3 linked regions of the Saccharomyces cerevisiae S288C genome follow. Changing the gene in region 2 together with the main gene of any one other region gives a genetic interaction. Each region holds a gene or a part of one and is shown on either strand. Other genes may lie near its edges.

Region 1 (4,825 bases), on a different chromosome or scaffold from region 2:
TGCTAAGAATATTGTCGCTTATTAGGATTGAAAGATAGGATCAATGAGGAATAAATGTTACCCTTTTTTCTTAAAAATGTAAGAGGAAATTATGAAATATACTCTGATTTGTTTATTATTGATTAAGAACAATATAATAACCGCTCTGGTAGCTACTGTACATATAATTTGACGGCATATATTGCTCATATATAAAACTACCGCATTACTTCCAGTTGATAGATTTTTAACTCAGTTTCAGTACTGCCAGAACTGCTCATTCGAGATTTTTTCTATTTTTAGAATAGGTAAAATTGCACTTAAATGTATAAGGGATGTACGAAGTGAGTGCCCAGACTGTTACTATGACAATTAAACTAATGTCGATGACCATTTGTTTCGACAACTCCATCTTCATTTTCTTCACGCGCCATACTCGGATGAGAAAGAATCTTTTCTCTAACTATACATTTCCAAACGCAATGATCAAGAAGAAAGCTAAATGTTACTTTGAGTTCAATTACTGAGACATGTCATGGGAATATGAGGAAGAAACAAATCTACGTGTATTATACTCCGTAACATGTAGAGTAAATACCATAGTTACCTATTTACCTGTGTCGATAAATGTTCATTAGCTCATAAGTGATGGGATACATTGCTATTCCTCTGCAATGGAAGCTTCGATATCTCCCTTGGGGTCGTTATGAGAGACGTCTTTAGGGGGGGTTTTGACAACAAACGGATCTACTTTCGTCGATTTGAACTTTCTTGCAGAAACTCCAAGTTTAAATAACTCATTTATTTCCACGAAAGTCTTTCCGGCAGTTTCTGGTAGGTCAACCACAGCCCAGATTAAAGTACAAAAGCATAAGACACCCCAGAAAAAGCCTGACTTAGCGCCCCAGTTCCACTTCTTAGAGTTCAGTTGGTATAAGATGAGAACGCTACATATGATACTGACCACATTATAAGTGTTACGTGCTAGAATGATTGTTTTCGTTCTTAGTCTTGAAGATGGCATTTCAGAGACTAGGCAAAAAACGACCGGGGCAATTCCTAAATTGTAAAAAAATGCTACAGCCATTAAAAGAGAACCACTTCCCATTTTGGAACCGTGCGTACTTGAGCACCCCAAACCGCCAATAATGAAAAAAACAATGGTTTGGAAGGCTAGTCCAAAAGCGTAAAGGTCATATCTACCAAAATACTTTGACGCCCACCAAGATAGAAATGTAGCACAAATACCGAGACAGTATTGAATAATACTAAAAGTGAAGGACATTTCAGTACTAACGCCAGCCTTTTCGTAAAAGTAAGTTGAATAACCTATTAGTATTGAACCACAAGTGGCTTGACCAGCCCAGCAGAGACAAGTAATTCTCGTTCTTCTTCGATTAATCTTGTCTTCAAAACAATCACTATAGGAGCCTTCTTTACTTGTGAGTCTCTTTTCCTTATCTATAGTCACTTTTATTTTGTCCACCTCCAGAGTTACTAGTATTTCTTTTTCAGGTCCCTTGCCGCTTAAAGTTCTTCTAAGTGATCTCCTTGCCTCATCAAACCTTCCTTTTTTAACTAGCCACCATGGAGATTCAGGTGCAAAAAAAATTCCCAGTGCTAAAGGAACTGGCAAAATCCACTGTAGGGCAAATGGTAGTTTATATCCTAATTCTGAATCCGCATATTTTTTTTGAGAATTTTTCATGATTCCAGCTGCAAAAAGTTGTCCAAATAACCAGCACAAGTTTGAATAGGTTGTAAGGTAATATCTCAGAGCCAATGGGCATATTTCAGAAGCGTAAGACACCGTCAAACACTGAAAACAACCCCATGGCATCCCGCACAATGCTTGTCCCACAGCAATCATGCCTAAACTATTGCAAAAGTACAGTATAAAAGTGAAGGCAGCTAAAAAAAACAATGCAATAATCAATGTGTAACGATTTCCAACAAGATCCACGGAGGGCCCCGTTAGCTGTAGCCCCACAATTTCACCTGCCATATAACATAAGGTCAGCCCGATTTGCCATGACGCTGAAATTTCCCATTCTCCAGTTTTGTCATTTTGTGAGCCAAACTTTCTCTGAAAAATAGGCAAGGCGTAGAAAGCTCCAAGAATAGCTGTGTCGTACCCTTCCATGATTAAAGTTGTAGAGACCAATAGTGACCAAGCTGCTGCCTTGGGATATGTATTCAATGCTGTCGCAAGTGGCATTCCTCTTTCACTTTCGTCTGCCTCCTTGGCATCCTCAGTAGCGTCAAATATCTCTGTTATTACTTTATTGCTATCGCTTGGCGCTCTTGTATCCGGACTGAACTCAACATGAACAATATCTAAGCCGTCCTTCTTAGTTTGATCATCCATTTCTATCCAGCTGGGTTCATGCGACTTAGCCTTTCCTGGGTATACATTCGAGTCACTTGTATTTTCCTTTCTTCTGTTTATGAGAAAAGATAAGTTTTTCATAGCTAGGTAATGGCTTTACAAGACCTGTATCTCTATTTGTGTTAGATTTTGTGATGGTAATCTTTGCATAATAATTCCAAGAACAGGCCTCTAAGAATTACAAACAACGATTACAGATGACCCCACCTTTTTTTTATATTCTATAGTCAACACTATCATGAACTTGTGGCATACTCATTGCATATGGCTGACAGGATGTCAAATGCTCCCTTCTACGAAAGATTCTGTGCACGTAAAACGCGGGGTGTGGAATGTCGCGATGACTCTCGAGCAGAGAAAAAGACAAACATATAACGAGCTGATTCCTCTCCAGAAGAACAAAGCCAACATTGATTCAAACTGAGGACTTAATATGATTGACTCTCTGGAAACTGCAACAGTGTGATTATAGATCAGAAATTCATGCTGTAATTTTAGTATATCGACCTGTCGCGATGTTGCAAGCGTGACAGATCTATACATATTTCGCTAAAACTGTCGGTAAAATACCAACACGCTGCACTGCAGACCACAGATTCGAACCGAAGCATATTTTCAGAAATTTACGAGAGGTCTTTATAGTCACCAAAATATCCAAATTGAGTAATTAGAAAGAAAAAAACACACATACTGTAGTCCACAACCTGTTTACGGACAGGTTCTGGCTGATGGGATAACCACTCTACCTGACTGCTCTCCTACTTCATATTTACCTCCCGAACAACGTGAAATCTTTTTGCTTGGAGAAAAACAAGTAAAAAGTATAAATGGAGATGAAAGATCCACCAATAAATTCCAGCTTGATTTTTCAACATATGATGACAAATGTGAGTGCTAAATCTAAGTCGTAAGACAAATAAGAACTTTTACCATAATCAGTATCCTGGGAAAAGTGGTAGAACTACAGTTTATCAAGCTTACCCACAAAGCATTAAATATGCTCCCACAATAACCTCTGGAGTGATATAACAGGTATGACTTTCAAGTTATAGTATATTAAAGATCTTGGAATTGGGCGGTTTAGGCTTGTTCATTTCAAAGCTCGAGTAAGATTTTAGTATACTTTTCCCTATAGAAATATTTCCGACATAGATTTTTTAATATAAGCACTTCTTCCATGACATTTTGTTTCAGTTATCTCTCTTTCGTCGCTACTTGAGAAAACTATATGGTTGTACGAAAAAGAAATGGCCAAAATATTCTTTGGGCCTTATTAATCTCATTACTATTGTAAGAGTTGGCCCTTAATTTTATAGAAACACTGTTTTAAGGCCAAAAAAAAAAGATGCCAAACATAGAAAGGAAATGTCGCTTTACTTGGCTAATTGGCTCTAAATCACAGGTCTTAATACTCGAAACGCCATTGATGTACTGTGCACAATTTCCATTCCGGGTTAATTATAAAGATATCAGCGTTTATTTTCATCCATGGCAATGAAAATTGTAAAATAATCATCATCAAAATTTGATATGGTTGCAATAGAGGGAATGATTTGATTTTTATGAGACTTATACGCATCACCCTGTATTTTTGCAATTACGGCGATTTATAAAACTTATAACGGAATTTAAGAGTTTCATCCTACCAAGCGTAATCATAGATATAAAAATTCTATTGTGCAACTCATATTTGTCATTGAAACAGGGACTTTTCTCCGAAGTTTAATATCTAGTATGAGCTATACACCTTAACCACTCCTTACTTGTAAAGGTACGAAAAAGTTGTCGTTTTAGCGCGCACTTACTGATGGATGCTGAATCAGTATAGTGTTTGACTGCGGCAGTAAACTACTCACAGTAGCAGGCACGTACTATGGAAGTTGTTTCGAGGCGCATGATAGGAAAAAGGGTACCAAAAAGGATTAGAAGAGAAAATTTTCATAATGGGAAGTCACTGACGAGGGTTGGTGGTTATCCGTTTTAAAAAAATATTATGCAATCAAGCTACAACATCCTGTAAATTTTGTAGTAGAAAACTTCTATTATAACGGTTTCTGAATTGGCATATAAAATAGTCAAAAGGTGATCTTTAAATCAACGGTAAAAACAGTGAAGCTGGTCCTGTTGTAGAATCGCCATTTCCTTTGTGGTGATAGGTCTTTAAGTAAAGTAATGGTGAATTTAGTTAATTTGTTAACCAACGCGACTCCAGCTAACTGAGCGCATGGTCTAATACAGTTCCGTTAGAAACATATTTTCATTTTGATGAGGTATCAGTATTTGGCGACTATTATTTGAATGCATCTGTAATCTGGATGAATGAAACCTTTTATGAAACCAGAATTGTCCCAGCTATTATCAATGTCCGTGAATGGCTTGACCATATGGAGGCAAACGATCCTTCACCTAGTGTAACTAACCCACTCGAAACTTCAATTATTATGCCTTTTCAACGGT
Region 2 (4,670 bases):
TGAGAGGCGGTAGGTGCCCTGGAATTTCTTAAAGAGTAAGTTCTGTGCATACTATATACTTGATGCTGATATATTCTTCACTTTGCAATACTGCTAACAATGGAAAAGTATAGGTAAATAAATGTGCAGATGCAGATGTGAGACAAATTTTCTTTCTTGGGTTGGGATAATCAACGCATTGTACCCAAACGACGGGAAACAAGGAAGGATGCAGAATGAGCACTTGTTATTTATAAAAAGACACGGGAGGGGGAATCCCGTCTTTCGTCCGTCGGAGCCAAAGAGATGAGCCAAAGCAGAAAAACAGGGGACGCCGCCCTTCTTCCGTCCCGTGCGTGAGGGGGGCGCGGCCATTCGGTTTTTGCAATATGACCTGTGGGCCAAAAATCGAAAAAAAAAAAAATAAGAGGCGGCTGCGGAATTTTATAAGACAAGCGCAGGGCCAAAGAAAAAATAATAATTGACGTGGCTGAACAACAGTCTCTCCCCACCCCTTTCCAAAAAGGGGAATGAAATACGAGTTCTTTTTCCCAATTGGTAAATATTCAACAAGAGACGCGCAGTACGTAACATGCGAATTGCGTAATTCACGGCGATAACGTAGTATTTAGATTTAGTATAATTTGAACCGATGTATTTATTTGTCTGATTGATTTATGTATTCAAACTGTGTAAGTTTATTTATTTGCAACAATAATTCGTTTGAGTACACTACTAATGGCTTATTGTTTGGCATTTGTAGCGGCAGTCAATTGCGCTTGTTTGATCAAACTTTCCGGAGCATCAAAGACGGGCAGTTTCAGTTCAATTAGTCTGATCACCGAGTTTTTCTGGAACTCTGAATCAGTGGTTAAGGCATCCCACTCACCCGTAGTGGCGATCTTGTGATTTTCGTACTTTTTCGCACCAAATGCGGGCAACAGGGCGAGGTGATCCCAGGTCTGGATTTCGTTGTACTCTGCGTGAGGCCCATGAATCAGCTTTTCGATAGTGTAGCCGTCGTTGTTAAGGACAAAAAGATACGGCTTTAACCCCCATCTGATCATGGTGGAGATTTCTTGGACGGTTAACTGCAAAGACCCGTCACCTATGAATAAGATGACTCTCTTGTTGGGGTCAATCTCCTCAGCGGCAAAGGCAGCACCTAAAGTTGCTCCTGTTGTAAAACCGATGGACCCCCACAACACCTGCGAGATACCGTAGGCGTCCTTAGGAAAGATAGTTTGATTGATACCGAAGGCAGACGTGCCGGTCTCGGAAATGATAACATCACCTTCTTGCAAGAATTTGGACAATTCGTTCCACAACCACTCTTGTTTCAAGGGCGTGCTAGCAGGTACACCTTTGTTTGCGGGAGTTTTGGTTGGTACGGGAACGCTCTTGTAGCCCTTAACAACATCGGGAATAACCTTCAGTAAGTTTTGTAGTGCAAATTTCATTTGTACACCGAGGAACGTAGCGTTCTTCACCTTTACGTAATCGGAATGAAACTCCACTACATTTTTAGTCTTGTAGGAGTAGGAAAACGAACCTGTGTTAAAATCAGAGAGCAAAGCACCGACCGAAAGGATCAAATCAGCCGACTCAACGGCCTGTTTCACGTCTTGTTTGGACAGCGTTCCCACATAAACACCGCCATATCTGGGATGCTGTTCATCTATTGACCCTTTACCTAGAGGTGTCACAAAAGCTGGGAATTGCGTCAAATCAATTAACTTCTGGGTTTCTTTTTTAACGTTGTGCCTAGAAGCACAGGCATCCGATAGTATAACAGGGTTTTTCGAATTCTGGATCAATTCTAGTACGGTATCAATAACTTCCTTTTCAGCTTCGGGATCGTTAGGTTTTAATGATAGATCAATCGGTTTTTCCAAAAGAGAACCAGGAACCTTTAGATCTACCAAATTCGCTGGCAACCCCAAGTAGCTAGGCCTTTGTGTTATAAATGTTGTCCTGATCAACCTATCGATTTCTGAAGGGGCTGTAGCAATGTCTGTAATCATTGATGTAGTTTCTGAGATATTGGCGGACATTCTGTGAAAAACGGTAAAATCACCGTTACCCAAGGTATGATGCAACAACAATTGCTTAGCCTGAGCGGAGATAGAGGGGACACCAACAACATGCAGTACACCGACGTGTTCTGCATACGATCCTGCAATACCATTCAAGGCGGATAATTCACCTACGCCAAAAGTAGTTACCAGCACAGATAAACCCTTGATGCGTGCGTAACCATCGGCGGCATAGGCGGCGTTCAGCTCATTTGCATTACCAGCCCATCTCAATCCATCTACCTCGTAAATCTTGTCCAATAGGGACAAGTTGAAGTCGCCTGGTAGCCCAAAAATGGTGTTAACATTAACTTGCTTCAATCTTTCAAATAAGTATTTTCCAAGAGTAATTTCAGACATTTTGTTGGCAATATGTTTTTGCTATATTACGTGGGTTTTTTATTTATACTGTATATAAAAGAGGACTGCAATAGCACAAGATTAAGATAGAATGGCTTCAAACAGCCGCCTTTTATACATATTGGTAAAAGCTCGCGAATCGCACCATATCCCTTATCCTGTAATCAAATCGATCTAGGTGCAGATACAGATCAATTCATAAAAAGAAATTGAAGCACCAGTTTATCACTACTACACTATCTTTTTCTTTTTTTTTTTTTTTTGCGAAGTTTCGCCCTTTGTTCAATATCACTTGATAAGTTGTGGGCTTTTTCTGTCACTCATTCGGCTTAAAAAGTATTCGTTCTTTTGTGTTTTATGAAAAGGGAACGTGATATAAAAAAACATCCTTTGGTGTGGGACATGGGCTTTTGTTTAGAGAATGGTTATCACTACCGCCCCCACCCTTGAAAGCCACAGAAAATGAAAAAGTATGTGAATAAGGTGTGAACTCTATAACATTTTGGCCAAATGCCACAGCCGATCTGCATATTCCAATGGACATAATGCAACAACAATTGATGTCACATTCTCTTACACACTTCGATTGGTCCGTACGTAGTACTTTTTACATAACTGACTCAGGCGTTTCCTTCATTGAAATGCTCATCTATTGCCAAGTACATAGAATCCACAGTGCATAGGTTTATGAGATGCTTGGAAGATGTACGATCGCCTGCACTATATTAGTATATTTTTTCAGGCTTTACAAAACCAGAAAGAAATTACCGACTGTAATACTTAATTTCCATGATTTTAATCGTATGGTCCGTGAGGAAAGAGGAATTTTAGGTAAAAAAAAACCTTTGTCTATCAAAACATAAAAGAAAAGAAAAAAATTAAATTGAATAAGTCAGCTTTTTAGCATGACCACAGTAATAATAGTAATACGATATCAGCATGAGCTGCTAAACATTAAGAATTTTTGAATTGTGTTCGCTGGTAAGAGAAAATAGGGTAGCATTAGTTGCGAGATGGAAAATTAAAATATGCGTCATAAGGTATTTTCGACGTTGAAGATTAGGGGTTGCAAGTCCGAGAACTAAACTGCCTTCACGACGTCAAACTTATTGTATGGTGACAATAAAACGAATTCAAGAAGCCAGAGATGATGAGGAACCGATGACGAGGCACATGGGGATAGAACCTCCGTTATCTCCATTCCGCGTTGAGCAGCTCTCCTGCGTGCTTTCACAGAGACCCTAAGCCAAGACCGCGGACGGCCCTCTTTTTCAAGGGGATCACCGGTAAGGGGCCAAGCGGTGAAATTGCGTATTGTTTCCTCCTATCAATGATGAGTACGTCGCCGATCCAGAAGGGTTATTATTGTCATTGCCAGTACTATTCGTATGCTGAAAAAGTATAGTTCACTTCACCCTCTGGCTGCAGGCTAGCCTAGCCGATAATGCCCCCGACTCCCTCAACAGGTAGAATTTGTAAGGATTCGACGTAGCCTGGACACATTGTGCATTTATCGTATCCCCTACTGCTACACGTATAAGAAGTCGTTGCTTTACCTCTATTCCAGAACTCAATCTTGTCGTTACTTGCCCTTATTAAAAAAATCCTTCTCTTGTCTCATGCCAATAAGATCAATCAGCTCAGCTTCACAAATGAACGTGTTCGGTAAAAAAGAAGAAAAGCAAGAAAAAGTTTACTCTCTACAAAACGGTTTTCCGTACTCTCATCACCCATACGCTTCTCAATACTCAAGACCAGACGGCCCTATCTTACTGCAAGACTTCCATCTGCTGGAAAATATTGCAAGTTTCGATAGAGAAAGAGTTCCGGAGCGTGTAGTCCATGCCAAAGGTGGTGGTTGTAGACTGGAGTTCGAACTAACAGATTCTTTGAGTGATATTACATACGCCGCTCCATACCAGAATGTGGGTTACAAATGTCCTGGTCTTGTTCGTTTTTCCACCGTTGGTGGTGAAAGTGGTACACCAGACACTGCAAGAGACCCAAGAGGTGTTTCTTTTAAATTCTATACCGAGTGGGGGAACCATGACTGGGTCTTCAACAATACTCCCGTCTTCTTCCTCAGAGACGCTATTAAGTTTCCCGTATTTATTCATTCGCAAAAGAGAGACCCTCAGTCTCATCTGAATCAGTTTCAGGACACTACCATATACTGGGATTATCTAACATTGAATCCGGAATCAATCCATCAAATAACTTACATGTTTGGTGATAGAGGTACTCCTGCTTCGTGGG
Region 3 (3,862 bases), on a different chromosome or scaffold from region 2:
GTTATTGACATTCTTCTGGTGTTGCCCGCTTCGCTTTCTTAAAACGGTTAAATATTGAAAAAGTTTCACAAGACACGAAATCAAAAAGGATCCATTTTGGTATAAAAATAGCATATTGCATAACTTAACTAAAAAGATTAAAAAAAGTCAAAGCTACACTGGCATACTTTGAACTGTTTTTTCAAAGCTGTCTCCACGTGGAAAGTTTATTTCATCAAAACTATTATCAAAAATTGTGGTTTTGTTAATACAAAAGCTGATATATATATAATATGGCATTTAGTGATTTTGCTGCCATATGCTCAAAGACCCCGTTGCCATTATGTTCGGTAATAAAGTCTAAAACCCATCTAATACTTTCGAACTCAACAATTATACATGATTTTGATCCTTTAAATTTGAATGTCGGTGTACTGCCACGCTGTTATGCTCGGTCGATTGATCTTGCCAATACAGTCATCTTTGATGTCGGGAACGCATTCATAAATATTGGTGCTCTAGGTGTCATTTTAATCATACTTTATAACATAAGACAGAAGTATACTGCTATTGGCAGGTCTGAATATCTCTACTTTTTCCAACTAACATTGCTATTGATAATATTTACCTTGGTGGTAGACTGTGGTGTATCTCCCCCCGGCTCTGGGTCATATCCATACTTCGTGGCTATACAAATAGGACTGGCGGGTGCATGTTGCTGGGCCTTATTGATAATCGGGTTTTTAGGTTTCAATTTATGGGAAGATGGGACTACAAAGTCCATGCTGTTGGTCCGTGGAACGTCCATGCTAGGATTCATAGCCAATTTTTTAGCCTCTATTTTAACCTTCAAAGCATGGATCACCGACCATAAAGTAGCAACAATGAACGCTTCAGGGATGATTGTCGTCGTTTACATAATAAACGCCATTTTCTTATTCGTTTTCGTTATTTGTCAATTACTGGTATCCCTATTGGTAGTTCGAAACTTATGGGTCACAGGAGCTATCTTTTTGGGGCTATTTTTCTTTGTAGCAGGCCAGGTATTGGTTTATGCCTTCTCTACACAAATTTGTGAAGGGTTCAAGCACTACTTAGATGGCCTCTTTTTTGGAAGCATCTGTAATGTGTTCACATTAATGATGGTTTACAAGACTTGGGATATGACTACCGACGACGACTTGGAATTTGGTGTAAGTGTTAGCAAGGACGGTGACGTGGTGTATGATAATGGATTTATGTGAAATGCTTCTTTTTTCTATTACCATATATAGAAAATAGGTGTATACTATTAGTTTAATGTAATAAGCAGGACTATGACAAACCAAAGAGTGAAAGTAGCCGTTTCCACGTTTTAACGGCTTGTGTACACTTTGACAGTCAATCAGCGTAGTGACTTCTTTTATCAGCGGAAACAACCATATCCATAAAAGAAACGTGATGGTCGTTCCCGTAGTTTATTAAGTAAGATGACAAATTATCCTTCTTTAGTCAATTGAAAACAAAACTTCTTAATCTGTTTCCAATGTTTTAAAGTCGCTCATATGTTCATGACTACTTTTCCATGAGAGGGTTCTACGAAAAGCATCATCTTATTTTCGCAACGCTGCGGGTTTAGGCCTTTCCGCTGGTCTCTTTTCTGTTTACAGTTCTGCCCGAATGTAAACAAATACTTTGCGAAAAGTAAATAATGTATTCTGAAAAAAAAAAAGAGAACTGTGAACAATGCTTGATAGTTGTAGGAATATCTTAGAAGAAAGGGGATAGATTATCTGGAAAATCGTTTGAATAAAATAAGAACCAGTAATTCATTCGTTTAAATTGGAAAAACAAAACATAAAAGAACCAGCAATGTCTTGGTTGCCTGTTAATGTAAAAAGTTCTCCCAAAAGATGACAGGAAACTCGTTAACTCATACTCGGTATATAAGAGGAAACTTATCTAATGTTTCATTCATTCTTCCTCTTCTGCTTATTCGATGTCTATTGAAAAACTTCAAGTAAACCAGCAATATCGACTTCCATTAAGTAGACAGCGAGCCTGAAACAAAGAATATACTGTTTCAATTCCAACTAAAGCCACTCCCTCAAGCGTTATTATTTTTTGAATTATATTTTCGGGTTTTAAGCTAACTCTAGTCATTCCTTACTACATTTTATTGTAACTCTTCAGTAGAGCTAACCACAGTCATTCCTTAATATTTTTTAACACAGATCTCTTTCACAGAGTAGAAATAAAGCCACTCCTTTAACAAATTACAAAGAAATGAAATTTAATTTTTCTACAATTTTCAATATCTTATTCTTTTTATTCACCTTAATTGAAGCCAACAGCAATGGGGAAACAGTCAAACTTATTACTTCTGATGGTATTGTTTACAGTTATGCTGTCTACACAAAGACTCTTGCGCCGGCAAGGGTTGTGGTTAAAACGATTTCATATACTACTACAAGGGTATATCCGATTACTTTAGCTAATTCCGTCGTTTCTTCCACTACTGAAAAGATAACAGAGGTTTCAACGGTGTCAGCTTCAGAACAAGTTAGTGCTACTCAAACAAACTCATTGGTTTCTACTTCTACTGTTTCCACTATCAGTCCAACGATTTCATCTGGTTCTTCAACATCCTCTAGCTCTACATACGATATCGAATCATCTCAAAGTATCGAATCGTCAGGTACATCTTCCGCTACAGCCGAACCATCTGCGTCTTCAGGTTTTCGTTTGACTTCTAGTTCTGCTTTTGTTTCATCTACTGCACCTTTCTCTTCCCAACTTTCTTCATCTTCATCTTCTGAAACATCATCCTCATCATTTTCAACATCATCATCATCTGCCCCTCTTTCCTTAACTTCTTCTTCTTCTTCTTCTTCTTCTTTCGCCACTATTATTACCTTGGCACCATCGAGCTCAAAAAGCGGAAACTCTCAACTAACTTTGGCGTCATCGTCTTCCACTTCCGCAGTTGAGTCATCCCAAACAGGGTCCACTATAGCAAGAACTACCTCTACACTGGTACCCTCTTCTAGCGTAGATACAACGTCTAGAGCAACGACATCCATGCCATTAGAATCGTCTTCTACGCAATCGATATCCGTCTCCAGCTCGGATGGCACTTGTTACGTTTTTTATGATGATGATGACTACTATAGTACTGTCTACTTAACTAACCCGTCTCAATCCGTTGATGCCGCCACCACTATAACTAGTACAAACACAATTTATGCTACGGTTACCATTTAGCGCTTAGGCATAATGGTGGTGCATTCTTTTCTATTTGTTTTCTCAGGCGTATTTTTTCCATTATTTTTTGTTAAAAATAGTAAAAAGACAGTATTATTTATTCATTTTTCCTCGTGTTGTTATAACGACTAAGTTTCCTAATTTCTTTATTTTGTTTTTTTCTCATGATCTTTTCATTTTGTAGTTTCAACTATTATATACAATGTGTATACTATAACTTAATTTTATTAGTTACCTCTTACTAAGGATACTGATTCTTCCCCACTCATTTCATGAATTCATCACAAGTCTTTAGTATTTTTCATATGGAAATTACATCACCTATATATATCAAAATGTTCCGGCGAGTACATTGTCAGAATCTACAGTTTTTCCTGATATGAGCAGTGATATGGAGAAAGAGACACTAAATAAGAACAAAATATTGCCGTAGATTTAATGATTCAATCATGTGTGTCAAATTTGTTCTCCATTGCATCTTCCTATTTGACATTTGTCTCATGACCACGACATTGTACATTACCAGGTAAGGCTACAATTAGCCTCACCGATGTAACGTTATATAACGCTGCGGTCGTAGAATATGATTTTTCTGAATTTTAATTTTTTTTTTTTTTTTTTTCATTTCTTTAACATCTAA

Evidence for each region.
Region 1: mutations in PDC6 (region 2) and MPH3 together harm fitness more than expected from each alone (negative genetic interaction), as found in Saccharomyces cerevisiae (one large-scale study listed by BioGRID).
Region 3: mutations in PDC6 (region 2) and DSE2 together harm fitness more than expected from each alone (negative genetic interaction), as found in Saccharomyces cerevisiae (one large-scale study listed by BioGRID).

What each region holds. Positions count from the first base shown.
Region 1 is NC_001142.9:737,368-742,192, forward strand, and holds MPH3 (alpha-glucoside permease), read right to left. Parts: upstream 2,450-4,825; coding exon 641-2,449; downstream 1-640. UniProt on the Saccharomyces cerevisiae protein: High-affinity uptake of maltose and maltotriose. Also transports alpha-methylglucoside, glucose and turanose but not melezitose or trehalose.
Region 2 is NC_001139.9:650,568-655,237, forward strand, and holds PDC6 (indolepyruvate decarboxylase 6), read right to left. Parts: upstream 2,415-4,670; coding exon 723-2,414; downstream 1-722. Other genes in the region: lipid-binding protein PIL1, read right to left, coding at 1-50; CTT1 (catalase T), read left to right, coding at 4,067-4,670. UniProt on the Saccharomyces cerevisiae protein: Minor of three pyruvate decarboxylases (PDC1, PDC5, PDC6) implicated in the nonoxidative conversion of pyruvate to acetaldehyde and carbon dioxide during alcoholic fermentation.
Region 3 is NC_001140.6:383,266-387,127, forward strand, and holds DSE2 (Dse2p), read left to right. Parts: upstream 1-2,244; coding exon 2,245-3,222; downstream 3,223-3,862. Other genes in the region: CHS7 (Chs7p), read left to right, coding at 273-1,223.